Linked DNA regions of Mus musculus: regions 2, 3 and 4 are each reported to be linked to region 1. Evidence: microRNA targets listed by miRTarBase, many of them from high-throughput screens and not tested one by one. Region 1 holds a microRNA gene; each other region holds the end of a gene's coding sequence.

Region 1 (7,448 bases):
ATCAGTCTGAGGTGGGGATTAGGCATCGAGGTGGAACTGACATCTAGGTCAGTGGTGATTGGACTCAGGAGCTTGGAGCCCAGAGGAGAGGTTACGGCTGAAGGCAGGAAGTTTACATTCATCCACGTATAGTTTATCTAGAGCAAGTGTCGTGTACAGAAGAGACCCAGGACCAAGCCTGAGCTCTCCCAGTGTGCACAGGCCAGGATAGGAGGAGCTATCCTAGAGCACTGAAGTAGAGAGACAGGCCCAGCAAGGAGGGACATGCCCAGGGTCACAGCTCAGTGGGCAGACAGATCCCAAGCTAGGGCACACTGCCTACACGTCCCTGGCGAGTGGCTCCCTTGCTTTGCAGACACCAATGAATGCATCCAGTTCCCATTTGTGTGCCCTCGAGACAAACCCGTATGTGTCAACACCTATGGAAGCTACAGGTGCCGGACCAATAAAAGATGCAATCGGGGCTATGAACCCAATGAAGACGGCACAGCCTGTGTGGGTAAGTGGAACCCTGGCCACATTCAGTAGCAGAAGACACGTGCCTTGTGCTGGGGAGTGGCAGGGAGGGACGGGTGGCTCTGAGTGGGCTCCAGGCCACAGCCATTAGCCCCTGCATCGCCCTGGGTTGATAGGTGCTCCTAGACTCACAATAGTTCTCCAGTTGAGACCATGCCAGGCTTGGAGAGGCCCTATCACTCCTGTCCCACTGGAAGGGCCCCGGGGTAACGTGTCCTGGTCTTATCGTTATCCCACTACTCGTGGTCCTTGAAGCAAGTGTTTTCATAGCTGGGATGCAAATAGCTCCTCCAAGTCACCTTTGGCAGATAATTTCTGAATTAGTGTTTGTCTTATCCTTCCTCCCAAAATCCTTCCTCCCAACCAACCCTTTGTCTCTCCCCATTTTTTTTTACCTCCCTGCGCTTTTGTTTGTTTTTTTGCAGCTCAAGTGGCCTTTTTAGGTGGGTACTCATCGGCTGCCTTTAGACTCTCTGAGCCTCTCTCTCAGGCCTCGTATCTTTCTCTAGGCCTGGGACTTTGCCTTCAGTTATATGCACTTTAAATCCCATCAATAAAGGAAAAAAAAATCTAACAACCTTTGTGGAAAACTATATCTCTCCTGCTGCCTACCTCTCTCCACACCCCATAGATCCCGCCATGTGCTCCTTCGAACGGACAGCAGGGGTGGCCATCTTTGAAAAGGGAAGTTTGGGAGATACTGATGGGACCTTAGTTGTTGGTGAAGCCTTTCTTTGCATGTTTTCTGAGAAAACAGAAAAAGGAAAACTATCTCCTCTACCCCACCCCTCCTTCCGTGAGAAGAACCAAGAGAGTCCAGTCATTTCTGTATCTTCGTGAGCTTCTTCTTGTTTTGCCCTTGACAAAGATGGCTCCTGGGTGGTTGCTGGCTCGGTTGATTCAGTAATGTATCCTGTGCCTGCTGATCCGGCCTGTGCTGCTGCTGCTGCTTTGTACAACCTGATTTCCTATGATTACGGAAGCCTTATTGGATTGGTGGTGGCGACGGAAAGGGAAAGGGTGGCCCTTTGGGACTGTTGATAAAAAAAAAATGCTTAAGTTTGAACTTGCTAAGTCTTCCAGCCTCTTTTCTGGAGAAATGATGCCAGTAGACTCTGCTGGATATTAGCCATGGGGGAGGGGGTGTCTGAGCAAGTACATGCTGGTTGGAGTGTTGAATTAGCTGTGACCCTTCCACCAGGGGGTACAAGGAAACAAGTCATGGCGTAAGGGAAGTGCCGTCCTCGGGCCCCAGCCGTGCGGCTGGGTGAAGGAAATACTCGGAGGACCAGACAAGGCACGTGGAGTGGGTGAGGGGCAGGCACGGAGGCAGTGCTGTATCAGTGCAGTATCCTTCCAGGAATTAACGTCTCCGTTCTGGAACCCCATTGCCTTTCCGTAAATGACAAGAGAGTTGGGTCAGTACATCCATACACCCCCTGTTCTCCCCAACTCCCCGCTGCGTGACTGGACATAGGTATGGTGAGTCTCCAGCAGTGCTGGTTTCTAGAAAGAACTTAGCAACTCAGCCTCTGCAATATGCTTGGGAGCCTGGGAGTGCCCGTAGCCAGAGTACTCTTTGGGGATGATGTAACACCACAGAATATGCTCATGACCAGCTCTGCTAGTGAAGGCCCATTATAAATCACAGATATATTCTTCATGGGGGAAAAAAGTCGCTTGAAGATATAATAAAATCATGCTTAAGAATGCAGCAAGCCTTTTAAAAACATATTTAACAAAAAACTACCCTTTCCTGATACCATAATAATATTCCCAATAAATCACCAAATATGAATTCCTTGTAGCTAGCGCTGTGTTTACACTCAGAACCAGAGCCTAAATGAAAAGTTTTAAAATGAAAACAGCTACAATTTCCCTGGGAAGCACATAACAACTTAAAAATCGTTCCAATTCCACCAGCACCGTCCCTACCCATCGACAGGGAATTAAAGATCTGCAAGGGCCCCAGACATGAGACTCAGAGAGATGAAGTGGTGGAGGTCACCCTGCCCAAGGTCACAGAGCCAGCTGGCCCCCCACACCAGGCATGCAGCTCTTCCTGCCATCATGTTAAGGGTGAGCGGCTGTACACTTGCTGCTCAGACCTTTCCCCGTTCACCCCGGAAGCCCTTGCCTTTTCAGACCTGAACAAGTGGATCTGAGATAGTAAGACAAGGAAGACCCAGAGCCCACGGGGACTGGTCGCAAATGCAGCGCAGAGCAGTAGGAAATGACAAGATAGCGAGCTCCATTGACTGGCCACACATGTCAGCATGAGAAATGGGAGTAGGAAAAAATAAAAATAAAAACCAGCGAGACAGCCTGCCAAGGACACCAAGTGTGACGGCCAACTCCAGAGGATGCCTGATCCCTCCCCCCCCCCCACCCCCGGTTGAGTTTCAGGCCACGGGGTCTGGCAGTGCCATTTCATCCTATCTGGTGGGAATGTCAGGGGAGTCAAAGAAAGAAGTTCAAGGCTCCCTAACTGCTGAGAGCAAACTCAGGGTAAGAAGGCTTTCCGTGGCGTTCATTCATTCAACAGCTATTGGCTGAGCCCCTGTTCTGCAACAGGGCCTGGGTAGGGCTCTAGGTTTGTAACAGTGAGTAAAGATAACATGTTTGATACCCCACACGCACACCACCTTCCCTCCAGCTGGATGGAAAAAGCCAAGTATAGTGTGGGAGGGGACTATAAGGGGCTTTCTTAAAAGTCTAGCTAGGTTCTCAGGTTACTGCGCCTGAGAAGCAAACACTATGCATTCATTTATCCGTGTGTCCATTCAGCAAGTGTTGATTAAGGACCTCGTGGGTTTCTCATGAAGAAGGTAACCAGCTCCCCTCAGTGAGAAGGTTAAGTCTCCTACACCCAAGAAGCTTATATTGGAGGAAAAAAATACCAGGTTAAACTTTATGGAAGATGGGCAGACTCTGAACCAACCCAACATCACCTGCCCGCCACTCACCAGGCATCCAGATATTGGAGCTGGGTGCCCCTGGCTCCAGACCTTCATTTCACTTCCTGAGCGTTATCAGCCACGGGTGAGTGGGTGCAAGCTTCAGCAAGGCTTAGGAGGCCACTGTCCCCATCCCCTTAACTCCTCCACTTCCTCATCCTGAGGCTCATGGCCTCTGAGCCCTCGTTGTCCACTTTGGAGCACACACACCCATCTTTCTTCTGTCCCATAGACCCACTTAGGTCCCTGACATCTTTTTTTTAGGTTATGCTCCAAGTTGTAAAAAGTAAAAAAAAAAAAAAAAAATGGAAAAGCCACCTTCAGGGCAGGTGAATAACACATGATCAACTCTAGCCAAGGCAGAAGTGGGATCCTTCCCATCCTTCGTTCCATTTTTCAAGAATACCCCCTCAAAACGATCTTTAACAATTTTAATAGTAATAATAACTACAACAATAATATCGCTTTTACTCTGTCTGATGCAGTCTCCTCCAGGAATGTTCCCCCTCAGAATGACAATAATGGCTTTCAGTGAGTGAGCTCAGCGTGTCTAGGTTGGACATAAACTCTTTACAAGAACCAACTCGCTTAATCCCTGCAGCAATCCCTAGAGGAAGAGGCTATAATTATAGGGGTGGGTTAAGTGGTTCCTCGGGATCACACAGCTGGGATAAGCAAAGGTGGGGTGGCGTCCCAGACAGTCTGGCTGTCTCCCACTAGCATGCTTACCTGCCCTGCCGTGCCTACCCACTTCATTCAGGTAGCCAACTGGTTTGGGCAGAAGCCACAGTCTCTCATCCTTCTCCAAGTCAAGGGCTAAGTGGGAAGGGAGAAACAGAGTTCCCAGAGAGCTGAGAATTGAAGCAATCCTACCAGAGTCACACCAAAGCCTGCAGGAAGAGCAGGCCACACCCACATGGAGAGCGCCCTCACCAGGCCAGCCTGGTCACTTTCTCCAGGTCACCTCCATCACCAACAGTCCCAACTCTGGGAAGGTGCCATTCCGAGGGCCAAGAGTCTGAATATGAGTCACTCTGGCTGCTATGGCCCCCTCCCAGGGCTTGGGCATCACATCCCTACCAAGAAGGCTGGACCAAGCAAGAACTCCAACACAGCCTCTGTTAGAGGAACATGGAGACAGAGAACATTTCATCATTTCATCATCTCAGGGTTCCAGAGATTCCAGACTCCAACTTCAGGAGGACAGTCAAATCCCTCCCCTTACCTCTCTGCCCATGGTCACCGCTGTCTCATTCCTTTTGTAAGCTCAGTAGCCAAGCCACAGGGAGTCAGAAACCTGCCAAGGGCTGAGGTTGTGTTTCCTTGGCAACAGGAACATCCTGGAAGGAGGAAGAAGGAGGCAGGCAGCTAGGGCTAGTTAACAGGACAGATAATCCCACTGTCCTCTGCCCTCAGCAGCTCTGCCCTCTTACACAGCACTGTGGAACAGTGGTTCAGTCAGAGGGTAGACCATCAGAGGAGAAATGAGAAGCAAGAAGACACAAGAGCATCCTCGGGGAGAAGTTAACATTTACGGAATGCCCACTATATGCCAAAAACTGCATAGATGTCTGCATTAATCCTTACTCCATCCTGAAAGGCAAATGTTACTGGTCTACTCTATTACCAAGGAAACTGAGGCTTGGGAAGAACAAGCTACACAGGGTCAGAGTTCACTGAAGTGGCTGACGATGTAATTTAGACCCCAAACTGTCTACTCTGCAGCTTGGGTTCCTAAGCTGTGTGCTTTCAGTTTCCAGGTAATTTGCACCTGAGGGAGTTATGTAACCAACTGGTCACTGATAATCAAATACAGACCACTATGTGCTGCACATTATTCTAGTGGCTTTGGATATTTATCGGTGAACAACACTGGCAACATCTCTTCCATGTTGACATTTGGCAAGGCATGCTCGTATAAACATGACGGTAAAAGTCTTGTGTGTTAGAAAATCCTGAGTGGGGGAAGAGGGGAGACATTAAGGGAGTTTGTGAGCACCTGGGTAGAGGCAAACTGTTACTTTAGGTAGGGTGGGCCAGAGTGCTCAGCCCCTAGAGGAAAAAAAAAAGATATTTAAGATTTAAAGTATTTAAGATTTAAAGTAGGTAAAATATACTTGAATCTCAGTTTCTCGTCTCTAAAATGAGTATGAAGCTTACATTTATTAAACTTGAGTTTTAGCAGTAACGGATACCTCACAGTTATTGTATTAAACTTGCCACAGTGTCTGGCATGGAGTGCACCTCCTATAAATCAGAGATCTCATTATTAATAAATACCACAATTGATGATGGAGCCAGGTTCTATTTGATGTCAAAGCTCCCATGCTCCTCAACAGTTGTGCCTGGAACAACCAGAGGTGTGCACTGTCTGCCCTGGGATGCTGCAGGTAAGTGAGAAAGAGACAGCAGGACCACAAATAGCCATCAAGGGGCAGAGGCCAGCTCCCTGGCCCTGGCATATGCCAGGTTCAACATAGTGCTCACGGGGCATCATTGCCAAAGATATAAATAAAGTAAATAGAGCTGGGTAGGCATGAGGTCGGCTGGGCCGCACAGAGCAGAGGCTGCTGGAAGCCACGGCACTTTTCTAGACAGTCTCCATCAGCACTAACAGACTCCCCAAGCAGCTAGTGCCAAGGCACCTGAGAGGTCTTCTAGTTCTGCCGCATGCTTTGCAGACAGGGAGACTGAGAACCATAGATTCTGCGACCCCGTGGGTCCTCCTCGGGGTCACACTGCCCCTGGCTCTTTTGAAGACCTCAGGCCAGGGTACGACTCCCCACTTCCTTCCCCAGAAAGCTCCACTGTTTCAGAAGCATGCGACCACGGTTTTAAGACTAAGTGGGTGGAACTGATTCCTCCCACCAAGTGACAAAAAGAACCACACGCTTGATCCTGGAAGCACTCCAAGACAGAGGCACCCTCTCTAGGAGACCCCTGGGCAGCTGGGAGTAAGGAGGCAGGTCAGGAGCTAGCAAGGAGGGGAGCAAGGAGAATCTGCCACCATTCCTAGGGAGCTCTGCTCAGAGCCCATCCATGCCACCACACCAGTTTGTGAGGAAGAAGAAAATCCAACTGAGGCCTCTCATTATCATAAAGGTAGCTCCTCTCGCATGGCCAGTCCCAGAGCAGCAACAAAAACTCCTACCCTCCGAGTGGCTGGATGCCCCTCCAAGCTAAGGGCTGACTTCCTTCCCTCTGTGGAAGGAGAAACACACCCCAGCTCCCGACTGCTCCTGAATGGCAGGAGAACAGGTAGAAACCAGACAGAGGAAGGCAAACCAGATGTACCCATCTCTGCTGTTCCAGGAAGATGCAGAGAAGAGAAAGGGGGAAAATTTGGGGTTGGCTCTGGGACACTGTCATTAGAATAGTCACAGTAGCTCAGTCCAAACAAAAGGTTTCCCATGCACCAAATGCCACAGCACTTCTTAGAGGTCTAGAACTAGGTCCCTGTGGCCTTCCTTCTATCCATCTACACTTGAATTTTTCTCTTCACTAAGAGACTATAAAATCAAAGGCTGAGATTTCCTGCCAGACAATCCACCTCCACACTCGGAAGTAAGGTACAGTGTCTCCCCCTCTGAGCCTCAGGTTCTTATCCGCAGAGTGGGGTAGTAACAGCCTTGAGCAACGGCAGCGAGGCTCCCTCCAGGAAAGGGCTCTGCGCAACACCTAGCTGATGAAATGCGGTATTATTATTATGAAATCTGTTCCAAGGCCTTCAACTCCTGGCTGCACTTCTTGTGGTGCCAGACTTTACAACAATCCATAAGTCATTAACCAGGCAATATTAGACCTAGAAGACTTCTTCCCAGCAAGACACATCCATCACTCAGTTACAAATGCTGAACTCATTTGGGGATGGGATAAACAGAGTCTCTGCTTTGAAGAGTCCAGGCCTGTGTTGTGAATGGCTCAGGAGAACACAGGGCCAATCAGTGCTCGTTCATTCACCTGCCTCTCCAGGGT
Region 2 (7,448 bases), not on the chromosome of region 1:
TAAAACAGACTTGGTAATTTCAAACAAGTCAACCAGATGCCAGTATTTCTGCATGCATGTCTTGTGGGATGGTGTTGTGAGGTCCCCTGACAGATGCACTGAGTGGCCAGGGAGACTTTTGTACCCTTTTCCATTTTAACAGCCCACGGGTCACTGTGTTGCTTCCATCATATTAACATCAACTTGAACCAGTGGTTCCTGAAACACTTCAGTTCATTGGACCTTGCTAATTAGCATCCTGTAAAAACCCACCAACAAATATCAACTAGACAGGTAGAATCCAAGTGAACTGTACACTCCTGGATCATGCCAGTAACTGTTTTAATAATACACCATAAAATATAACTACGACTTCATTTTACAAATCTGTGTTTAATAAACAGGTACAGGCTTGTTGGGTGCGAACTTTTAAAACTCCTAATAAAAATGCCAGCTATGATTATCTTTGTTTATGGCAATTTGACTAAGAGAACAGAAATTAGCTGAGTGTTAAAGTACATCTGTGCTTACAACATTTAACAACTTCCTAAAGAGCCGGTAGAACCACAGTTCCTGTGTTCATAAGCAAGGCTGTTTCAGTCCGGTACAACCCATGGGCTGCTCCATGCCATCTTACCTGAAGGTAGCCTCCTTTGAACACTTGGGCTCCAGAGCGTGGTGCTGTTGGGGAACTTGTGGGAGATGAAGCCTCCCTGGAGGAGGCGTGTCACTGGGGATGGATCTAGAGACTCTGTAGCTGGTTCCTCTTCCTGTTCAGTCAGCTTTCTAAGAGGAGATGCAATGTGGCTGGCCAGCCTTCTGCTTCAGTCACCGTGCCTTCCCTGCCTGCTGCCATGTTCTCGATACCAGGTCTGGAACCCTTCACCAATATAAACCTTCTCCCTGAAGTTGCTTTGTCAGGATATATTCCCAACAGCAACTGAAAAGTAACTCAGACACTAACACAGGCCTGAAGGAGAGGCTATACCAAAGTTAAGGTTCTTCAGTGATGAGTAGAAAGTCCTATTGTCTGTGCCTGAGGCAGATGTTTACAATGACAAGTGATTAACTGTCACCAAACAGCTAATGGTAGCCATAACCCTGACCCTGGAGGGACTCAGAATAGGAGATATAAACAGATGCTGTCTCAGAGGCCATTAGAACATGAGCTAAGAGGGGAGCGAACAGGTAAGCGGCCTACGTTTAAATCACTAGAACCAAATAAGCCCAAGGCCATGGTGTCACTATTTTTTAGTTACATGGACCAGTTTACTTTTTCTTTTGCTTAAGCCACATTGAGTCATCCTTTTAACACCCCAAGACTGACCTGACTAACATATTCTTCCTTTATATAATCTTTTTCTATGAAACACAAAAACACTGTATGTACACGTACACACACACACACACACACACACACACACACTTGAAAGGTACTTGCACTTTATTGCTGTGTTAAGTAAATGCCATTTAGGTCACTATGGATGTGCCAAGGGAGGCCTGTTGCTTAGGAAGGAGGAGGCAGTAACGGACTTAGACACAAAGGAGGTATCCATCCCTTTTATAAGATGAAGGAAGGGATGGGAGTAGGTGGGCCAGCCCCGCCTTAAGAATTCAGGTAAAAAGATGTACAGTCTAGCTTTGGGCCAGCATTGGGTACTGGCCAATACTGAAGCACAAAGAACAGCAGCCACGTTTAGCTAGAGGAGTGGAGAGTGTAAGAAGCTTGTTCTAGAGGCGCAGCCACTGGAAACTTCCCTCACAGGCAGCGTCTGAGTCTGCTTGGGCTGCTACAATAAAATCTCACACAGGAGTCAGCTTAAGCTTAGATATTCTGGAGGCTGAGGAAGCCAAGATCCAAGAGTCCCACCCCTAAAAACTGCCAGCCAAGAATCCCGTTCCTGGCATAGCTGTTCTTTAAAATTGAAGAGAGGATAAAGGCTTTCTCAAATAGAAGACAAGGGAGCCATCCTAACATCCCCACCACAGGCAGTTCTTCAAGCCGACACTAGAAACAAGGAAAGACACAAAAGCATAAAACTCCCAGGGAAAGGAACTAAGTCCAGATCCAACGAGAACGCTACTGGATGGGATGCAAACCTTCCAACCATTTACTTCCACTTTAAAGGTTTAAAGACAACACCATTAAAATGATAATCACAACCATGAGTTATTAGGTGCACAGTATACAAACAAGTTAAGCATGGTGTTTAAAATACAAAATGTCGGAGGAAGAGCAAGTTTTCATATGTGCGCCCAGCTTTTAAAACAGCCTGCGGTATCACTGGACTCCTGAGGCTCACTGCAATCACAACTCCAAACCTCCACTAGACAGACAGGAGACTCCACCAAAGAACATCACCGCGCATACAAGGGGCCAAGAGGGACATCCACAGCCACGTGGAAGTGAGTCCTCACCTACCCGTAACAGGAGACATTTTAGAGATGTGCAAAAAATGTGTAAATACTATGCTCCTGAACAACTAATGAGCCATACGGGGGCTTAAGAAAATTAAATTCCATACAAAAAAAAATTAAAGTTATTAACATGTCTGCGCTAACACCATGATCTGCAGATGCCGTGCAATCCTAGGAAATTCCCAATGCTGTATTTTCCCAAAAAGCAAAAGCTTCCTTACTATGTACACAGATCCACAAGATTCCCAACAGCCAAAGATATGCCAAGAAGGAAAACAAAACTGAAATTATTACCGTTATCAAGCTTCAAAATATATTACAAAGACACAGCAATGAAAACAGCATTCTGCTAACCTAAGAAGAGATGCAGAACCCAATGGGAAACAACAGAGGCCGCAGAAGTAGACCTACACCGGCGTGGCTAGGACTTGACAAGGAAGCCAAGACACCCAGTGAATGGAGAAGAGCTGTCTTCAATAAATGCTGTTGGAAAAACTGGATGTCCACATGCAAAGGAACGAAGCTGGACCCTTATCTCACACTATATGAAAAGCAACTCAAAACAGATTGAAGACTTAAGCATAAGACCTCACTCCAAGAAAGGATTAGATAAATGCAAGAAATGCTATGGCGCTATTTATAGTTACGTCTTCAGCAACGAAAAGGAAAACGGGCCCACCAGACTGCTTCCAAATAAAAGTTTTCTAGCCGTGTAAATAGTCAAGGGTTAAGACTGACTACAAAATAGGAGAAAATAGTTGATAAATACTTACTATCTAGGATAGGTGGTATTAAAATTCAACAACAAAATGAAATAACTCAATTAAAAATGGGCAATGGACTTGAACAGACGTTTTTCAAAACAAGTCACAAAAGTGATTGATACATACATGAAAATATACTCAACATCACTAATCATCAGGGAGTTGCATATAAAACCATAGTTAAAACCATATCAAAAAAAATCAAGGTTTGCACTGTTGAGAGTACGGGAGAGGGGATGCACACACAGTAGGAGGTCATATACAGGTACATGTAACAGGAAAACAGTATGGAGCCCTCCAGAAAGTCACAAAGGCCACTCTTATGACCCAGGAATTCCACTTCTAGGTATGCACCCAAAGGCATCAAGCCAGTCTGTTGAGGAACACCTGCAGCATCATTCATCTCAGTGCTACTCACAAAGCTAGGGTAGCGTCTGCCCGGTTGTCTACCCACGGCTGAATCAGTAAAGACAACAAAGGGCACACGCCTGTACACACAGATACACTACTTGTGGCAACAGGGATGAACTTTATGGACATTGTGTTAAATGAAAAAGGCCATGCACAAAAGGAAGACAACAGCACAATCTCACTATGTCTAAATGTTCACGGCAGTAGTTACGGGGGCGGAGAGGACGTCATAGCTAAGGAGGCAGTGAAGGGTCAGCTATGAAATGAATGGAGAAAATAGTACAAGCCATACGTGAAAACATGGAAGAACGTGGGATTTCATTCAGGAGGAAGAAGCAGTACAGCACAGAGATTGCTGTTGAAATCTATACATCCTATATTCTTCGAAAAATATATTCTTGGAAGTATTCTCACCACAAGAAGTAAGAATGTGAGGCTCAATTCAGCCACTCCATGATGTTTACATAGTAAAAAATCATGTACGAAGTAAATACAATTTTTACTTTTTAGTTAAAAAAAAAAAGAGAGAGACACAGTCTAGCGGTGGTGGCGCACACCTTTAATCCAGCACTTGGGAGGCAGAGGCAGGTGGATTTCTGAGTTCAAGGCCAGCCTGGCTGACAGAGTGAGTTCCAGGACAGCCAGGGCTATACAGAGAAACCCTGTCTCGAAAAAAACCAAACAACAACAGCAACAACAACATCAACAACAAAAAAGAAGAAAGAAAGAAAGAAAAAAAGAAAAAGAAAAGAAGGAAAGAAAAGATAAAACGTTAAGAGAGACAAAGCAACCCCTCCCCCAGCGGAATGTTTACTCCATCACAGGCACTGGGTGGTCTGGACAAGGCTCAGGGTTTGGGTCACTCACAGCTCAGTTCTCAGTTCTGGTTCTTACTCAGGCATTTTGCTACAGCAGCCTGAGCAGAATAAGGCACACCCTAAAATAATTCCAGTTATGAAGATCAGTGAAGAGATTTTAGGGCACCAAGAAGTTGCGATATGCTCTTTGCTGCTGCTGTGACCAAGACAGAAGGTGCTTTCTTGTCCTTTGCGCTGACACTAGCTGCTCACACGCTGGCTCCACAGTGTTCCCTCTGTGCCCGCAGCTCAGACGCAGGGGTACAAACAGCAGACTCGAAGGACTCGAAGGACTTCCGGGGCTCTCAGTGTCGCGACATTCCCCCGACAGAACTCAACTCCAAAGCCAACACGTTTTCATGAAAATATATTTAATCTTATTCAAATTAGAAATCCCGTATCTCTCCCCAGTTATTTTCAAACAAAGGACCCCTGTCAACAATCGTTGAAAATGGTAAGAGGCAATCTCATGTTGATTGAAAGGTAGATAATCAAACACTTTTGACGGGTGACCTATCTACAAGGACTTGTTCACTTCAAAGGAAGGGATCCCATCGCTGCTATGAATCTGAAGTGTGAAGAAGGTCTATGCTATGTCAGTTAACACTGGTGTAATACACGGAGGACTGGGCTCTCCAGGGAAGGGTGTCACCGAGCAGAGACAAACACAGAACAACAGAAAGGGTAGGAGCCACTTCTGAGAATACTGGCTAGTGCTGAGCTCAAGATTAGTCAGAGGGAAAAAAATCAATGTCCGTGACTTTAAAGAGAAGCGAGTTCTCTTTGGTACTACGGACCTTCCCGTGATTCTAGAATCCAGATTACAGAAAGGGATAAAAAGATGAACAAATCACAAAACTAGAGACTCCTGGCTCTGTGCCTCCAGGAATGGCAGTGCCCACTTGCTCATCCTGCCAGCACCCTCATCAGAAGTAGATGTGGCTGCTCTGCCAGGCCTCCACCAGTGGGGGCCTGGTTCCTCATTGGGTCTAGCACCAAGTGCGGGTCTCCTGAGAGGTCAGCACCTACTGGGCCATCTTTCGGATCATGTAGTTCAGGATGCCTCCATTGTGGAAGTACGTGAGCTCCACATCAGTGTCGAACCTCATCACGGCCTGGAAGGTCTTCCCAGTGTCCAGCTGCAAGAGCAAAGAGGCAGAGCGCTGCTGAAGGCGGGGCTGAACCGAGACTCCCACCTCAGGGAGACTCCGCCTGGCTTGGCTGCCCACTGGCCTCAGTTGGGGCGTGGTATATGCCCACAGTGCCAGCAGCGGATGGAACCAGTGGTCTCTGCACCCAACAAGAACCCTGGGAATTTATGTGCCCACCAGAGGTTGAGGAGCATTGCAGAATTAATGACACAGGTGTAGCACATGAGAACAAAGTGTCCTCTCAGGGCAGCAGCTATGAGTGACACTGTGACGCTTTGCCCTAAGTCTTTTCTGGACATGCTCTGGGCAGCAGAGGTCTCTGGGGTTGTTCCTTAAGCAGCTGATCCAGCTGCTTGCCTTGGGTCATCCTGGGACCTCAGCAGCTGTCTCTGCAGTGTCAAATCCCCTTGGGACTTTGGCAGAGGGCACTTTACTCTCGCCTCTCCTGACGATGTGTCATTACCTCGACATGGGTTACTTTTCTGTTGCTGTGAGAAAACACCATGACCAAAGCAACTTATGGTTCTCAGACTCCATCATGGTGGGAGCCACAGCTGCAGGAGGAAGATGAGCACTCGAGGGAACTGCAACTGTAAGTCTCCGAACTCTCCAACTCGGCCCCCAGTAACACACTTCCTTCCCCAGCATGGCGTACAACCTAAACCTCCTGGAGGCACGAGCGAGCACTGCTTACTGAGAGTTCAGATGCAGGAAGAGACTGTGGGGACGTTTCTCGTTTAAAGCAAAACCATGGGGCTAACTAAGTGAAGCCTGGGCCTGGGACGAGGGTCATGGAGGGCGTACATACAGAATTTGTTGATGACAATTTCATTAAAAAAGAAAAATTTTAGATAACAGGAAAGCATCACCTCTGAACTTGCATCACTAATCTTTGGGCTGAGAGAGACGGAGAGAATGGGGCTGGCTGGGGATGGGCGTTCAGAATGAATTGATAAATGATGCTAACCAGCAGATATTATCCTACGAAGGACCACGAGGCTTCACATCGGATGTCGTCTGGAGTTAACTCCCCTCCACCCCACTAATTTCTTCTGTCAACTGATGACAAACAACAGGCCTTGCCGGTTGTGCCAGCAGAAGCCCTGCGTACCTTGATCTGCACCGTCATGCGAGGCTTGAGGTCTTCAGGGATGTTGATAGTGTATCTTTCCCGACCTGTGAGTCCCAGAGAGTCTGCAGTTTCACCAGGGAGATACTCAAGGGGGATCACCCCCATGCCAACCAAGTTGCTGCGGTGAATGCGCTCATAGCTCTCTGCCAGGACAGCTTTGATTCCCTGACGAACCAAGAGAGATGTTTAGACACAGCTCCAACTTTTCTTTAAGAGGTACACAGACACTTTGCAAGACGCTTCTTTGGAAATTCTCACAGCTAGATTACAGACCTGTTGGTCCTTCATCTCAAATGCCATCCTCTGGTTAGAGATAGCTGAGTGGTGAGTCGTCTCCGACTGCCTATCGTACACCAGCATTTTGTAAACACCTCCTTGAATTCTTTCCTGCCCTCCAGTAGCCTCGAGATCCAGCCGATGCTATTACAGCTACCTTTCACTGAGGGAGTCTCAGTGGTGGGATGCAGTATTGGAACCCATGAGGTCTGACCATGCATTGAACCACTTTGAGACACAAGAGCCCTTTAGAATACGTATCTCAAAAAAATTATATATACATGTGTGTGTGTATATATATATATATATATATATATATATATATATATATATATATATATATATATATATATATATATATAATTTTCCTTTCTTTGGGTTTTATTTTATTGTGGGCACACATCAGCAGACACCAAGGGTTTAATCAGATCTGACATGCAGAATGTACTACTAATTAAAC
Region 3 (7,448 bases), not on the chromosome of region 1:
CAGAGGTTAGACCAGAACACAAGACATGACACTTCCCTCTTGTCCCATGGTGGGTGTGCTGAGCTACCAGGAGGCACCACGCCCTACTGTCTAATATGGAGGGGACTTTGAGTTACCCAGGCAAGGCTCCTCACACAGTTTCAAACTTTCAAGTAACGTATATCTCGTTAAAATATAACAAAAGACCCATGAAAGATTGTGTCCTAATGAAACGCATTATTTGGCTCAGATCTGGGCATGTCAAAGTATTACACTTAGTTGACCATTGTTGTTTGACTCCTGGAAGTTCACACGATGCAGATTTGGTCCTCTCTGTGGGTTTTTCAAGATGGTGGAAACTTGAAGAGATCCAGATTAATGTGAGGGAGTTAGGTCACCAGATACACTGTTCTGAGAAGGGATAAATGACGATTCCTCAGAAGTCAGTTGTCATGAGAATGATACAAAGGACATCCCCTGCACCTGCTTGGCTTATACTGTAGATGGCCACTTCTCTCTTCTCTGACACATTGTGAAACAGCCAAAAAGGCCCCGTTAAAAGGCCAAACTGATGGAGCTGCCTGATTCTCAATTTTCAGCATCCAGAAGGACAACCTAAACCTTTCCTTATGAAATACCTAGCCTTTGGTATTCCATTACAGTAAAAGAAATCCGACTAATCTAAGCAAGCGCAGTGCAGTAGTAGGATGGCAGTTATATACGTGTCCCTGTGTATGTATATCTTGCCTGATATACCCTTATAACCAACAACACGCCTGTGTCAGACAACAGGAGTTAGGTGTTTATACCACATGGGGGTGTACCTTCACCTTGTAAACTCAGAACAGATGTCAATAAGATTTTGAAAGAGCAATTAATTTTGAAGAATAGGGCTAGAGAGATGTCTCAGCGATTAAGAGCACTGACTGCTCTTCCTAAGGTCCTGAGTTCAAATCCCAGCAACCACATGGTGGCTCACAACCACCTGTAATGGGATCCAATGCCCTCTTCTGGTGTGCCTGAAGCAACTGTGTGTGTGTGTGTGTGTAGCAAATGAAAAAAAAAAAAAAAAAAAAAGAATGTTCTTCAGGTTTACATCTGTTCCTGGTCTTCCAGACAGAGTTCAGAGTGGATACTGAAGAATCCAAACAAAGGTGGTAGGATTTTAAAACTTCATCTGTGTCTGTGTCTAACACCTACAAGCCTTAAATACAATTAAATCAGCCAGGGATCTTTGTGATCCACCACCACCACCACCACCCCAGTTCTGGGAATAAAATTCAGGACTTCATGCATGCTAGACAGGCTCTGCCATTAAACCATATGCTCAGCTTGACATTTTTAGCTCTTTAAAAGGTATCCAGACAGGGGTATGTGAACATCTGTTCTTATGTCTTTCTTTACTGAAAGGTTACCTACAGATATAAGAAAATTCTCTGATGTTGTAATGCTGAGTTCAAGGGAATTTGATAAATGTACAGAGTATAATCACCTTTGTCACCTCAGCCACAGAACAGGTAACACCTTAGTGCCCCACCTGCAGCCGCTGACTGCTTCCCTGGTGAAGTCTTCACAGGTGACATTGGACAGCAGGCACTTTTCTGACATCTTCCTGATGCCTTGCACACTAGCATTTCTCAGGCAGTACTCCTTTCTGTTGCTGAGTTTTAATGTCTGCATAAGTCACAAACTGTTTATCCATTTACCTGCTAATCTGCACTTGAGTTTTTAATTTTAACTATTTTTAGTAAAATGGCTAAGAAAATAAAATGAAAAAATGGATCTCTCTCTTGGGTAAAATATCTAGTAATAAAGAACTACTACTATACCGAGAAATATTTGTACTAAGTTATCACAATAAAGGAAACAAATACTTTTCTTATGTTATAATAAAATTTATTAGCTGAATCTATGTAAGACATGTTGAAGAATCTGTAGATTTTCTTACCCTAAAAGTGGCAAACACAATCACATACATCCAACATATTCCAGGATAATATTTAAATATTGTTCTTTACAAATTCAATATATTATAAATCAAGTAACATAGCGCAGTCAGACTATTATTTAGACAAGTAAACCACACATTAAGAAATCGGCTGCATATGTAGCAGAAGATGACCTAGTCGGCCATCATTGGGAAGAGAGGCCCCTTGGTCTTGCAAACTTTATATGCCCCAGTACGGGGGAACGCCAGGGCCAAGAAGTGGGAGTGGGTGGGTAGGGGAGTGGGGGGGGGGTATGGGGGACTTTTGGGAAAGCATTTGAAATGTAAATAAAGAAAATACCTAATTTTTAAAAAAAAAGAAAGAAAAAGAAATCTGCTGTGACTTTTAAAAGAAAAGATAAAAGTTGAAGAATCTCTAATTTAAAAAGTAACACAATTTCTATTGGCCCATTTTTTAAATAAAAAATATAAAATGCCCAGGTTAGACTCCATTCTCTTTAATTAAAGAGAAAAAAAATGTGTTTCATTTGTCCTTAGGCTAATCTCCCATATCTAAGTCTCTAAAATATAAAACTTTTAAGTATCAGAATCCAGGGATATAAGCTTTCACTTTCAAAATTACATAGAATCCTAATGTTAGCTAATTATGATCTCACAAAAACCTTACCACTGAAGATATCACTTATTTAAATAATAATAATGCCATCTGCAGTTGTAAACTAGGTCATCATTATATAATACAAAAACTGACTAAAGAAAATTTCCAGAGCTCTTAAATAGCTATCTTTAAAAAAAAAATGAGTATTTTTTTATAATATTCTGGAATATAGAGAAAGATACATGAAAATTACGTCAAAGAAACTTCAAAAGCAACAAAGAAAAACATGTTTCTTCAAATTGCTTTCTTTCTTTCTTCCTTTCTTTCTTTTTTTCGTTTTTTTTTTTGGGGGGGGGGGTTGGTTCTTTTTCAAGACAGGGTTTCTCTGTGTAGCCCTGGCTGGACTAGAACTCCCTTTGTAGAATAGCCTGGCCTCAAAATCACAGAGATCCACCAGCCTCTGCTTCCTGAATACTGAGATTAAAGGCAAACATCACCACGGACTGGCTTCAAATTGCATTCCAAAGTTCCCAAGAAGGGCATCCTGACTGAACTAATGAAGATAAAATGTATTCCCTGATAAACTTCTGTAGCAAAAACTAAAACTTCAAGCAACATATAAAATGAAGAGTTTCCTGGTACCTATCATAGTATTTACATTCCCTTATCTCAAAGACCTGGAAACACAATGTCAAACTGACTGGTCACAGAAAATTATTCTAAAAGTACAAATGGATGTCACAGACAAGGAATCTGACAGTTTGACATCCCCACCCACCTCTGAGCCACCTCCTCCCACAGCACTGGAAAAGATCAAAACCGCCTGCCACAGACGGGGTGCCCAGGGTGAAGAAGGCGGGGACAGTAAGGCACGGAAGACACTGCCTGCCACACAGTGGCCACAGTGCACGAAGACACCACCTGTGTCCACCAGGCCCTGGAGCAAGGCTCTGTCTGATGCATCAGTGCACCCAGTCCTTTGGATGGCGCAACACTTCCAGAATTTCAGCTTCTTTGGAATTCTCTGGGGGAGAATGCATGTACTCCCATCTACGCATGTCCAAAACGAAACAAAAAAAAAAGCAAACAAAATAACAATAAATGACATACATAACTAATGGAGAATAAAACCCTAAGAGTAAAAACAATGCATAGTTCCTCCACCCCACTGTGACTACTGTGTCTCTACTATATATATATAAAAAAATCAGCTACTTAAGAGAGTAAATTTCTTAATAAGTCTTAGGAATATCTGGGTTAATACTAAGATCCTTTCATTACAAACTTGGGTTTCATAAAGTATAGAGCCTTGGGTAGTACACAGGTAGCTTAAGTTTTACACTACAAATGTATCTTTCTAGAAAGAAGGCTGTGAGGAAAGGCCAGACTCAGCTTCCCACTTGCTCTCTCCACATCCTCAGATACAAAGCGCATAGGACACACATCCTGTCACTTCTTACAGAATCCAATCTGGGCTTTATTCTCTCACAGTTTTCTTATAAAAATCAGACAAACATAAATGAAGTATTAGGTAACACCCTGTCAAGGCTAATGTGCAGATTCCATGGGGCACAGGAAGTTACTATGACAGGAGTTACTCACTATAGGACACTGAGTTACTATGACAGAGTTACTATGTCAAGGGTTACTATGACAAATCAGCTTCTTACCTTGCTGTTAGAGGTAAAGACATCAAGATACTTTCGATCCTGGATCCTGGAGTAAAGAGGCCAAACTTGGTGCCCCGATCATACAACAGATTAAACTCCACATACCTGTCAGAAAGACACCAGATAGTCGTAAAGGTGTGTTGAGCGAAACTTTCTAGAAATCCTTAAGGAAAACGAAGAGTGGCCCTTCTCCCCATATCTCATACCAACTAGCTTACACACAGCACACAGCTTACACAGCCCAGCGAGCCCTCTCCTCTGGAAAGCGTAAATAAAAGGGCATTCTACCCGCCAAACAATTGGATGCAGATTGTGCCCAACACAGAGCCCAACACAGAGCAACCACAAATCAGCAAGGTTATGTTCTCCCCATGAATAAACAGTGCAAACACAAATTGGGACCAGGCACGCACAACAATTAAGAAAGAAGCAGCATTGTTTCCTGGGTAACCCAGCCTGGGTCCTCACTGTTGCACAGGCATTCAGGAAAAGGGCTTCATCAGGGGCTCACAATACTACACTAGGAATACCCAACTTCCATAGGTTAAGTGCCAGGAACTGCTGAGCAAGGAACTTACGACTGCTGCTACTGCTGCTGCTACTACTACTGTTATTATTCTATAAGGAATAGGTTTATGTTATTCTATAAGCAACAGTGACTAAAACAGCCGGGATCTGCCTCCTTCCCTGCCAGAGTTCACAGCATCAACAGAGATGGGACCACTCATACCTCCTCTCTTTACAGCCATCACTGTGAAAGCTACAGCCTTGCTCTTCAGTGCTTAGCTTAACTTGGTTTTGTTTGTTTGTTTTTGTTTTTGTTTTTGTTTTTTTGCTTCTTTTCTTCATGAAAATATCTTGGTATCAAGTAAAGTTAGGCTCAGTGTATTGTCCAAATTTTCTACTAACTGTTAGGGAACCAGATCTGAATTCTATCTAGCTTAAACATCTGTTTCTGATGTTAACATCACAGGATTCAAAAATCTCTTCAGATTTAAACTTGTACTTTCTACTGTCCTAAAGAATTCAGAATGATTCATAAAAATGGTTTTTTAGGGGTAGGGGAGGGACGAGATCTATATAGGGGATATAGATGACAAGTTATGACTAGACTAAGAAACTGAAGCCAGCGCTGACCATAAAGGGCCTTTGCGATGATGCTGGAGCTATCTAAAGCCCCAGAGTCTACTGCTATCTTCCAAGCCAAAGATAACAGTGGCAGACAGCTTCTCTTTTGAACATCAGTGACCTACTAAGCTATGAGTGAGTAACCTCAGGGGACCCAAGATAAATCTAGAGAAAGGGGGTCAGAATGGGAAGCATATGGGTGACAAATTGGCAGGGGTGGGGGCCTTGTATTGCTTTAAAATTTTCTAAAAGAAAACTGACTCTATTCTCACTTCATTAGGCTGTTACACGGGGACCTGACAGGGCACACAGTTATGTGAGTAAAACAAACACCCAAACTCAGAAAGGTAAATACAAACATATTTTATCTTTAAACATGGAACATGTAAGTTGACTTCTTCAAGGCCTCTTCAAGGCACAGCTTTAGCTCCTTAGGGCTCAGGTGCCTGAGAGTTAACAGGAATTAGAAGAACTCGGGCTATGACTGCGACTTATGGTACACATGCAATTAACATGAGCAAGGAAACTGCCGGGGGCTGGGAGAGTGGGTGTGGCGAGCTGGCTCACGAGGGTCACTGAGCCTGAACACAACCTATCTTGCCACCTATGAATTCATCAATACAATCAGGGGCCGAGGTTAAGGATGGGTGATACAGGAGGACTTTCACATCTGGTGTGCCATCAGACCTGCTGTGTAGTTTGGGCTTAAGGACTTACTGGTAAGGACACCTTATGGTCCGTATATGATAACACCATATATACCACAGGCTTCCTGGGAAAACCAGACACACAATGGCTCCCTCATACAGGGGTTGTGCATAAGAGGTCCAAAATAAGTAAAGGTGATCACGAAGACTGTATTACAATAGCTTCTTCATAAAATATTTAAGACGAATATTTTAAAGTGTGACTCTGAATTTATAAGCAAAAGAAGAAGAAAAAATAATCTTAAATGATGCCCTCATCTTAGCAGAAGGTAGAAGCTGTCACTGGGAAATGAAGAGAAAAATATTCCACAAGTTCTTACCACGTAAATGCCTACCACAAATACACATACAGGTGAATTAAGTAAATCTTGTGACATTGATTATACAACGTCGTTAAGTTAATTTTTTTTTCTTAAAGATTTATTTATTTATTTATTGTAAGTACACTGTAGCTGTCCTCAGACACTCCAGAAGAGGGAGTCAGATCTCGTTACGGATGGTTGTGAGCCACCATGTGGTTGCTGGGATTTGAACTCCTGACCTTCGGAAGAGCAGTCGGGTGCTCTTACCCACTGAGCCATCTCACCAGCCCATTAAGTTAATTTTTAATGTTCGTCTACTTAAGAAAAAAAAATCACCGTGGATTAATATGACTAGTTATAAAGTATTTAGCCAAAACAGCACAACAGCCACTGTGCCTGGAGGCCCTCCAAGTCTGTGAGCTGTGTAGACTGTTCACCCTCCTGTCACTCACCGCCCTCTCCTCAGCTGCTGCCACAGCTTGTCCCTGGGGGTGTAGGAGTCATCGCAGTGCTTCTTCACAATGGGAACATAGGAAGGGACCACAGCCTCAGCACACGTCTTCACGAAGCGGAAAGCCTCCTCCTTGGAGGGGGAGTCAAGATCGTCAAAAAAGATGCCGCCGATGCCCCTCCGCTCCCCGCGGTGAACTATAAAGAAGTAGTCGTCACACCTAGAACGGGCAGCAGAGAAAAAGCATGGACTAAAAGATGAGAGATGCGTGCGACTTGAAACGATCCGTTGGGTTCAACGCCCGCTCCTCGGCTCACCCCAGCAGTATCTTTGTTTTCTCTAGGACTACAAAACGAGGACTCTAGCCAGACTTTCTACAGCTACCAAGCAATTCAAACCAAGCCAATCTAAAGGACAAGCAATACTAAGAACTTGTGCAGATAAAGCGACAGTGCAGCTGGCTACCATACTTCCTAAGACTTCCGGGGGCACCGCTGCTTTTACAGGGGGCAGGGGATGAGGGTCTCCTAACATGGGCACCAGCTGGGGTACGAGCCTGAGCTTTCATGTGCCTAGTCTCAATTCAGCAAAAGCAGAATGCTGTCAACAATTTTAGTATTTAGTATCTCTTTCAGTGTTAAAAGCGGTGACTCTCAAGCATGCAC
Region 4 (7,448 bases), not on the chromosome of region 1:
TTGGATTTAGTACAGAGCAACTGCAACTGCTGTTAATTAGGTATCCACTCTGTGCCGGGTACTACCTTAAGCACTACTAACTGTACAACCCTGTCATGCTGTGAATCACTCCACAACATGAAGTCACCTGGTGTCAGATAAGGGGAAGTGCAGGGGCTAGTACTGGGAAATGAGTTAATAGTTCGTCCCTAAATGGCAGCTATTGATAGAGCTTCTGTCATCGCCAAGATCTGTGAAATGAAGCCATTGTTTGGGAGAACTGGGAGATGGGCTGAGAGAAAGGAGGGCCCCAGTGCTCAGATGGGAAGAGCTCTGTAAGACCTGAGCCGAGCACATAGGCGCTGCCTGCCTTTGCCTGGTAAAGAGGCCCAACAAGGTAGCAGGGGAAACTGTGGCAGAGGTGTAGCCCTGGAGACTGATATTCAGTGCTAGATTAAACTGGATGAGAGTCTACTCTCTGATGGCGAGGATCTAGATGTGAACTGAATCTGGGGAGGGTAAAAGGCTCTCTAGTCTGGGCCTAGGGTGGTTGGAGGAGGGGGATTAGGCCTGCTGCCTACCACTGTGATCTTGGGGGAACATCCTTCAAGCCCCGCGGCACGACATGAGTGAGCAGGAAAGGGAGACAGAAGAGGATGAAGGCGTTGCCTCAGACACAGCACCCATGCTACCCCGAAGAAGGCCTACTGATTACCACATCTCAGTCCTGGCTCCTATCCTGGCCACCCGAGGCCTCGGGACCCTGGTGCTGTCTGGCCGGGCTCTAGTTGGGTTCCTGCTTCATCTGCTGCTACCTGGAACAGTCTTCCTGCTGGTGTTGCTACCAGCAGCTGCCGTTGTCTACCTGGGATTCCTGTGTCACTCAAGGGTGAGCAGTAGCCATTGGTTAGTCCCCGGGAAGTGGGGAAGTGAGAGTTCTGTGGAGGTTCAAGTCCTTGGGGTTGAAGGTGAATCTACCCCCTTCTAGCCTTGCCCCTTTGTAACCAGAGATATATGCATCCTCCTGTTATGCCAACATCCCTGCCAGCTGCAGTCAAAGAAAGTCTCTTTGTTACTCGGTGAACAGCTGTCTTGCTTCCCCCCCCCCGCCCCCCCCCCCCAGGCCTCTTAGCTTTGTACCAGGAGGTACTAGGGCCTGGTCAGTGAGGTTGATGTGGAGATAGGAAAAGAAATTGTCAGATTCACCCGTCCTCAGTGCTTCTCCACTCCTCATACTCCTCCCCCCCACCTCCTCCCCCCCACCTCCTCCCCCCCACAGCCCTTCCCTGAACCCTCTTGACCTTGGTTAGGCTTCCGCTCATCTAAGGCTTGACCTATACATAGACGACCCCTATATCCCCTTTCTGAAGCTGATAGAGAGAAACGATGCTAGCTGGGTGACAGTCCAGATGGAGCCATATCAGCTGTCAACAGGTAAGGGGCATGGAAGGAAGCTCATATGGGGACAGGAAAACTGGGTTGGGAGAGCCAGGGAGGTTCTCTGGCCTTTCCTTAAGGAATCCCCGAACACACACTCTTGGTTCTGTTCTCGCATTTCTGTCCAGGCTCCACCTCCAGGCAGGCCTCCCAGCCTTACGCTTTTCTTTCTGGACTCTGCCCTGAGCTCGGGGCCCAGGACCTCCCTCACCCCTGCGCTGCTCTGGGGCCTCCCCGCCTGACTGCACGCCTCCACTGTCCACAGGTTCATCCGGCTCCGGGTCCACGGTGCCGAGCGCTGCTCTCGGACCGCGGCTCCGCGGCGCTCATTGTGTTCGGATTGCTCTCCCTGCCGCCGCTCGTGGTGCTCGCCGCCGCCGCGCGCTCCCTCCTGGTCCGGCGACTACGCCCTGCGCTGCCTGATCCCGCGAGGACCCCGGCTCCGCGCCGCCCGCCCAGGAGCAGCGGAGATCTGGCCGACGGCCACCCGGACGAGGACAAACAACTCTGTGCTTGGGTCTGACGCCTCAAGGTCTCTGCGCGTCAAGAGCCTCCCAGGTCCCTCGACCCCCGTAAAGTGGATGACTCGGGCGGCTGCTTTGGGGCTCTGAGAGCAGTGCTCGAAGTCGCCAGGAGATGGCAACAGGGTCCCTCAGAAGAGGGAGAAAGGGTGTCCCTTCAAGAAAAGCAGAAAAGCATATTATGTCTTCCACCCAATTCTGTGGTCAGCAGCCGACTTGGCAGCTATCTCTGAATCCCCCCCCCCAACCACGCATAATTCTAGAAGCTCCGGTGTAGCCAGTAGCAACCAGACGTCATGGCTCAACTTGCGGGATCAGCTGAGTCCTCCAAGGTCTTGACCTTGTACAGGACAAAAGATCAGTTGGGTCCATGGTCAAACTATTGCCCGGATCAGGTTTGAGATAGGATCTGGGATCAGTGATTCAGTGTAAGTGCAGGATCGGCGTGTCGTTGTTAATATGTAATTTATTTTTATTTATTTATTTTTGTGCGTGTGTGTATTGATGTTTTGCCTGCATGTGTATCTATGTGGGGGTGTCACAAGCCCTCGAACTGCAGTTACCGGCAGGTGCGAGCTGCAATGTGGGTTCTAGGACTGCAACCTGGGTCCTCTGGAAGAGCAGCCAGCTGTCTTCTAAAGGACCCTGAGCCATCTCTCCAGCTCCTAGCACTCAGCTTGCATTCGGGGTCAGGTATCAGCGCATATCTAGAACTGGAGCTCATTCTCTGACCAGGGGTCTTTCTTTTGAGACAAGTGGCAGAATACGAGCTCATTTTACAATGTGGGTAATGTTAAGATTTATCTTTGTATTTGGCATGCTACAGTTTGACTAACATGTTCCTACTTACGCATAAATTATCATTCTCCTTTCCCTCCCTGTCTCCTATCTTCTCCTCTTCCTGGGACTCGTACATACTAGAACTAGAATATCTTGTTTCTTTTTATTTTTATAGAATATCTTATTTCTTTTTATTTTTAGTAGTCCTGGGATGGACTTATAAATGTTAGGCAAGCACTCTACCACTGAGCTATAGCCTTAGCTGTGGATATATTTTTAAAATTTAAAGTATTTTTAAAATTATTATTTTTGAATTTTATTTGTAGACCAGGCTAGCCTTGAACTCAGGGAATCTGCCTGTCTCTGCCCCACTCCCCACCCCCAAGTACTAGGAATAAAGGTGTGTGCTACCATCCAGGGTTAAGCCTTGAACATTTTAATTTTAAAACAGAAATTCTACTACTTCTACTACTGAGTGAGCCCTCCAGATCTGTTTTGGTTGTAAGGTTCTGCTTCAATTCCTGCCTCCAGGTTCTTGCCTTGAGTTCTTGCCCTGACTACTTTTAGTGTAGTGAGATCTGGGAAATGTAAGATGACATAAACCTGTCATGATGGGTTGTCTTTTGTCTGTTTGCCGGCCTGCCTATCTATCTGTTTTGTTTTGTTTTTAAAGATGTATTTATTTATTTATATGGGTACACTGTAGCTGTCATCAGACACACCAGAAGAGGGCATCAGATCTCATTACAAATGGTTGTGAGCCACCATGTGGTTGCTGGGAATTGAACTCAGGACCTCTGGAAGAGCAGTCAGCACTCTTAACCACTGAGCCATCTCTCCAGCCCCTATCTGTTTATTTTTAAGTCAGGGTTTCTCTGTGTAGCCTTTGCTATGCTGGAACTTACTCTGTAGACCAGGCTGGTCTTGAACTCACAAAAATCTACCTGCCTCTGCCTCCCAAAGGCTGAGATTAAATGTGTGTGCCACTGCTCGGTTGGTTGGTCTTGAGTTTTTTTTTATTTGTTTGTTTGTTTTTAAATAATTTATTTTATTTAATATACATTGGTGGCTTTGCCTGCATTCATGTCTGTGTGAAGGTGTCAGATCCCCTGGATCTGGAATTACAGACAGTTGTAAGCTGCCACGTGAGTGATGGGAATTGAACCCTGGTCCTCTGGAAGAGCAGCTACTACCGAGCTATCTCTCCAGCCCTTTGATCCTGATGTTTTATCAAAGCAATAGAAACCTAAGGCAGGCACTAACTTTAATAGTCTTGTCCAGAGACAAAAACAACCAGTCATCTTAGGTTCCCTTATGGCACTAGCTCATGGCCCTCAATACAGAGTACTCGCCCCTTCCCCTCTCTGCACCCCAGCATGTCTCTCTGTCCTGTGTTCAGAGAACTCTTTATTTTCCTATCAGTTCCCTTCAATATGCTGGTTGCTTCTTATTGTTGTGTTATTACTTTTTTTTTCCAGGACGAGTTTTCTCTGTGTAGCCCTGGCTATTCTAAAACTCACTCTGTAGATTAGTCAGACCTTGAACTCAGAGATCTGCCTGCCGCTGCCTCCCGAATGCTTGAATTAAAGGAGTATACCACCACTTTCTAGCTTGTTGCTAGATGTGTGTGTGTGTACATGTATGGATGTGCATGTGCCACAATGTATGTGTGTTGTGACAGTCAGAGAGGACAACTTTTAGGAGTTGTGGGTCCCAGGGATGGAACTCAGGTTGTCAAGGTTGGTAGCAAGTGCCTTAACACCATGGGTCATCTCTCTGGTCCCTTGGTTTATGTTTTTGTAATGTTTAATTGTTGGGGGCGGGGGGTTGTTTGAGACATATTTTCTTGTAAGCCCAGCAATATGTTAAAAATATGCTCATTATAATTTACCTGGAATCTAATTGTATCAGACTTGTTTTGTTTTGTTTTTGTTTGTTTGTTTGTTTTTACTTTAACTTTTGCAACTCTAACCAGGATGCTCTAGAACTCATGAACCTCCTGCCTCAGCCGCCCACATATTGGAATTATGAACATGCCTCCATGCCCAGACCTAACTTTTTTTTTTTTTTTAAAGGATCCAGCACACTGTTTTGCCAGTGTGGCTCAGCCAGGGTCAGACCTCAGCCTAACTAGGATTGAGTGAATTTTGTAGTCTCAAGCGTAGCCCAGTGTGTGGCTGAGTCCGGTCTGTAGGGTGCCTTGTGTGTCTTGGGGCTTTCCAGCCTTCATCCGTGTCCAGCTTTGATTCTTTTCCTGGTCAGACAGAATGACGGAGCCAGCTGGTCGCCAAGCGGCCCAGGAGTGCTTCCTCCGGAATGAGGCTGCCTTCCTTCTGCTGGCCAACCCCAGAGGTGGAAGATGAACACTCTCCTGGGAAACTCTTGGCTGAGGATTGGATCTGCCTGGCCCCACAGTCATCAAAACAACAGCTGGGCCTGGTGGGGGTGGGGAGGTGACTGTAGAAATCAACTCCCAAGCTTAAGTGGCTGCTGGTGGGGTGAGGAACTCTGTCACAGCAGCTGCCTCAGACATTCCATTTCCGAAAGGTGTTTCCCAGCTTCCCAAGCCTATCTTGAGCCTTGGGTGTCCTCCAGTGGCCATGGGGATGTCCAAGGGAGGGCAGTGGGATGACCTACTTCAATCCAATCTTCCAAATTTTTCTCTTTTCTCTTCTCTTCTCTTCTCTTCTCTTCTCTTCTCTTCTCTCTTCTTTTCTCTTCTTCCTCTTCTTCCTCCTCCTCTTCTTCTTCTTCTTCTTCTTCTTCTTCTTCTTCTTCTTCTTCTTCTTCTTCTTCTTCTTCTTCTCCTTCTTCTTCCTTTTCCTCTCTCTCTCTCTCTCTCTCTCTCTCTCTCTCTCTCTCTCTCTCTCCTGGCCATGCTTTCAAAGGAACACTGTGTGCAGAGCATGGTGGATTATATCTGTAATCTCAGCACTGGGGAAGCTCAGGCAGGAGAATTGCTATGAGTTTGAGGCCAACCTGGGCTACAAAATAAGACTGTCACAAAACAAAACACTACTGTGCTGTGAATGGAGCTGGATATAGAAGGGTACAGTTTGGTGTTTATGTGGGGGCAGACATGACCTTGGTTCTATTCACAGCATCACACACACAAAAAGGAATGCTGTGGAGGTCATGGGAGATCTGTGGAAGAGGTCTGGGGTCTGTATTTAGCTGTGAAGGACAGAAATGTGCCAGCTGGTAGATTAGAGCCTGAGGGCTGAAGAGACAAGCTAGCTCACCATACAACCAGACACAGATCTGGGGTCACTGTCCCCCACTCCACCACCACTGGACAGGTCCGAAAAGGGGGGTTTGGGGCTGAAAGGAAAGTGTGAGGCTGGGCCTTCAGTCCCATCTCTGAGGTAGGCCTGCATAACCTACTGTCTCCTGCCTTGGTAGTACTGTGTCTAGTCCCTTCAAGTGTCTATCTCCTAACTCATACCTAGCACAAGCTCATGACAGAAACATTTAGAACCTAGGATCCTCATGTCTGGCCTGAGAGTTCAGAGCACCTTAATTCTTCTGAGGGCCTCTGTCTCCTCCCTCCTCACCGGTTCCTCAGGGCGCGCCAGGCGAGACCTCCACTTGGATGCAGACTTCTTTCCCAGTAACTCAGGGCCTGCCTTATAAAAAGGAACCTGACTGGGGTAGGCACATATGCAAGGCTGTGTCCTGTCTGTACTCCTCTTAAGCTTTGAGTCATAGCATTATCACAGCTAAAGAGACTGGGCTCAGTGAGATTCCCACTTTATTTAAATTATTCATTCACAAAGTATTCGCAGGCATGGCCGCAGACAGCATCTGCCACGAGTGACTCTGTGTTTAGCCAGCTTTGCCCATCCAGCTTCAAGTCCGGGCTTAAGCTCTAGCCTTGCTTATTTCCCAGGCATCTCTGGTAGAGGCAGGAACTGAGGTGGGGCTGGGGTGGTGGTGGGGTGTGGGGTGGTGGTGGGGTGTGGGGTGGTGGTGGGGTGTGGGGTGGTGGTGGGGTGTGGGGTGGTGGTGGGGTGTGGGGTGGTGGTGGGGTGTGGGGTGGTGGTGGGGTGTGGGGTGGTGGTGGGGTGTGGGGTGGTGGTGGGGTGTGGGTGGGGTGGTGGGGTGTGGGGTGGTGGGGTGTGGGTGGGGTGCTCAGTAAGAAGACCTGGTACTGTCCCTGAGAGCAAAGGCAACTCCTCCTGACTCCCTCAGGTCCCCACAGCTGGAACACTCTCCCCTTGGAGACTGCTGGGCCTTTCTTGGAGATGGCACAAGGGACTCTGATCAGATCGCCTCTTAACAGAACCATTCCAGCCAGGACCCCAGCTGGGGATTCCGTGTCGAGACGGAGCATTACCACTCAGCTAGTGGCACATGTGGGGCTTGTAGTCTACCTCTGATGGCTGCTTTCCTAGAAGCATGGAGTCAGCCATCCTTGCCTCATCTCAACCTCGTCCAAGACTCTCTCTAGTACTCAGAATCCCATCAGCCCCTGTGGTCTGAAGGCTACCGAGCTTGGCTTGCTGCCTCTGTCCCAGCCCAAGCATCTTGCCATACACCTGCACTCTTACCCACAGCCCTTTGTGTCTTGGCATTTGCCATTGTATCTGCTCCGGAAGCCTTTCCGTCTCAGAGCTCTTACCAATTCCCTGGTCTTACACAGTTAAACCATTTTAGGGAAATTAGTAGCCATGTGTATTTGTTACTGTTAGCTGTAACCTGTAACTGTAATCCTATAGCTGTGACCACCAT

What was found. Region 1 holds the annotated microRNA mmu-miR-3085-3p (UCUGGCUGCUAUGGCCCCCUC, at 4,507-4,527, shown strand). A microRNA usually pairs through its seed, bases 2 to 8, with sites in the 3' UTR of a target mRNA and lowers its output. Matches are read on the target gene's strand: a 7mer-m8 pairs with bases 2 to 8, a 7mer-A1 pairs with bases 2 to 7 and ends in A, and an 8mer does both.
Region 2: the mRNA of Aco1 is a reported target of mmu-miR-3085-3p. Seed matches in the 3' UTR shown: 7mer-m8 at 4,186-4,192.
Region 3: the mRNA of Cpox is a reported target of mmu-miR-3085-3p. Seed matches in the 3' UTR shown: 7mer-m8 at 2,921-2,927.
Region 4: the mRNA of Tmem88b is a reported target of mmu-miR-3085-3p. Seed matches in the 3' UTR shown: 7mer-m8 at 2,559-2,565.

What each region holds. Positions count from the first base shown.
Region 1 is chr19:42,277,174-42,284,621 of GRCm38, reverse strand. It overlaps Mir3085 (microRNA 3085), which reads left to right and starts at 4,452; the gene lies at 4,452-4,540. Gm34347 (a long non-coding RNA gene) reads right to left here. Exons shown (of 3, transcript XR_386718.4): 1 at 4,699-7,448. Crtac1 (cartilage acidic protein 1) reads left to right here. Exons shown (of 15, transcript NM_145123.5): 14 at 356-499; 15 at 942-1,587. The coding sequence ends at 1,060.
Region 2 is chr4:40,195,674-40,203,121 of GRCm38, reverse strand. Aco1 (aconitase 1) reads right to left here. Exons shown (of 21, transcript NM_007386.2): 20 at 6,692-6,877; 21 at 4,113-5,568. The coding sequence ends at 5,455. Among named protein-coding and RNA genes, the nearest start is that of Ddx58, 40 kb to the left of the region's middle.
Region 3 is chr16:58,674,797-58,682,244 of GRCm38, reverse strand. It overlaps Cpox (coproporphyrinogen oxidase), which reads right to left. Exons shown (of 7, transcript NM_007757.2): 5 at 6,785-7,003; 6 at 4,196-4,300; 7 at 1,854-3,575. The coding sequence ends at 3,488. Among named protein-coding and RNA genes, the nearest start is that of Cpox, 8.3 kb to the right of the region's middle.
Region 4 is chr4:155,778,759-155,786,206 of GRCm38, reverse strand. Tmem88b (transmembrane protein 88B) reads left to right here and starts at 333. Exons shown (of 2, transcript NM_001033394.3): 1 at 333-868; 2 at 1,682-4,616. The coding sequence starts at 605. The coding sequence ends at 1,939.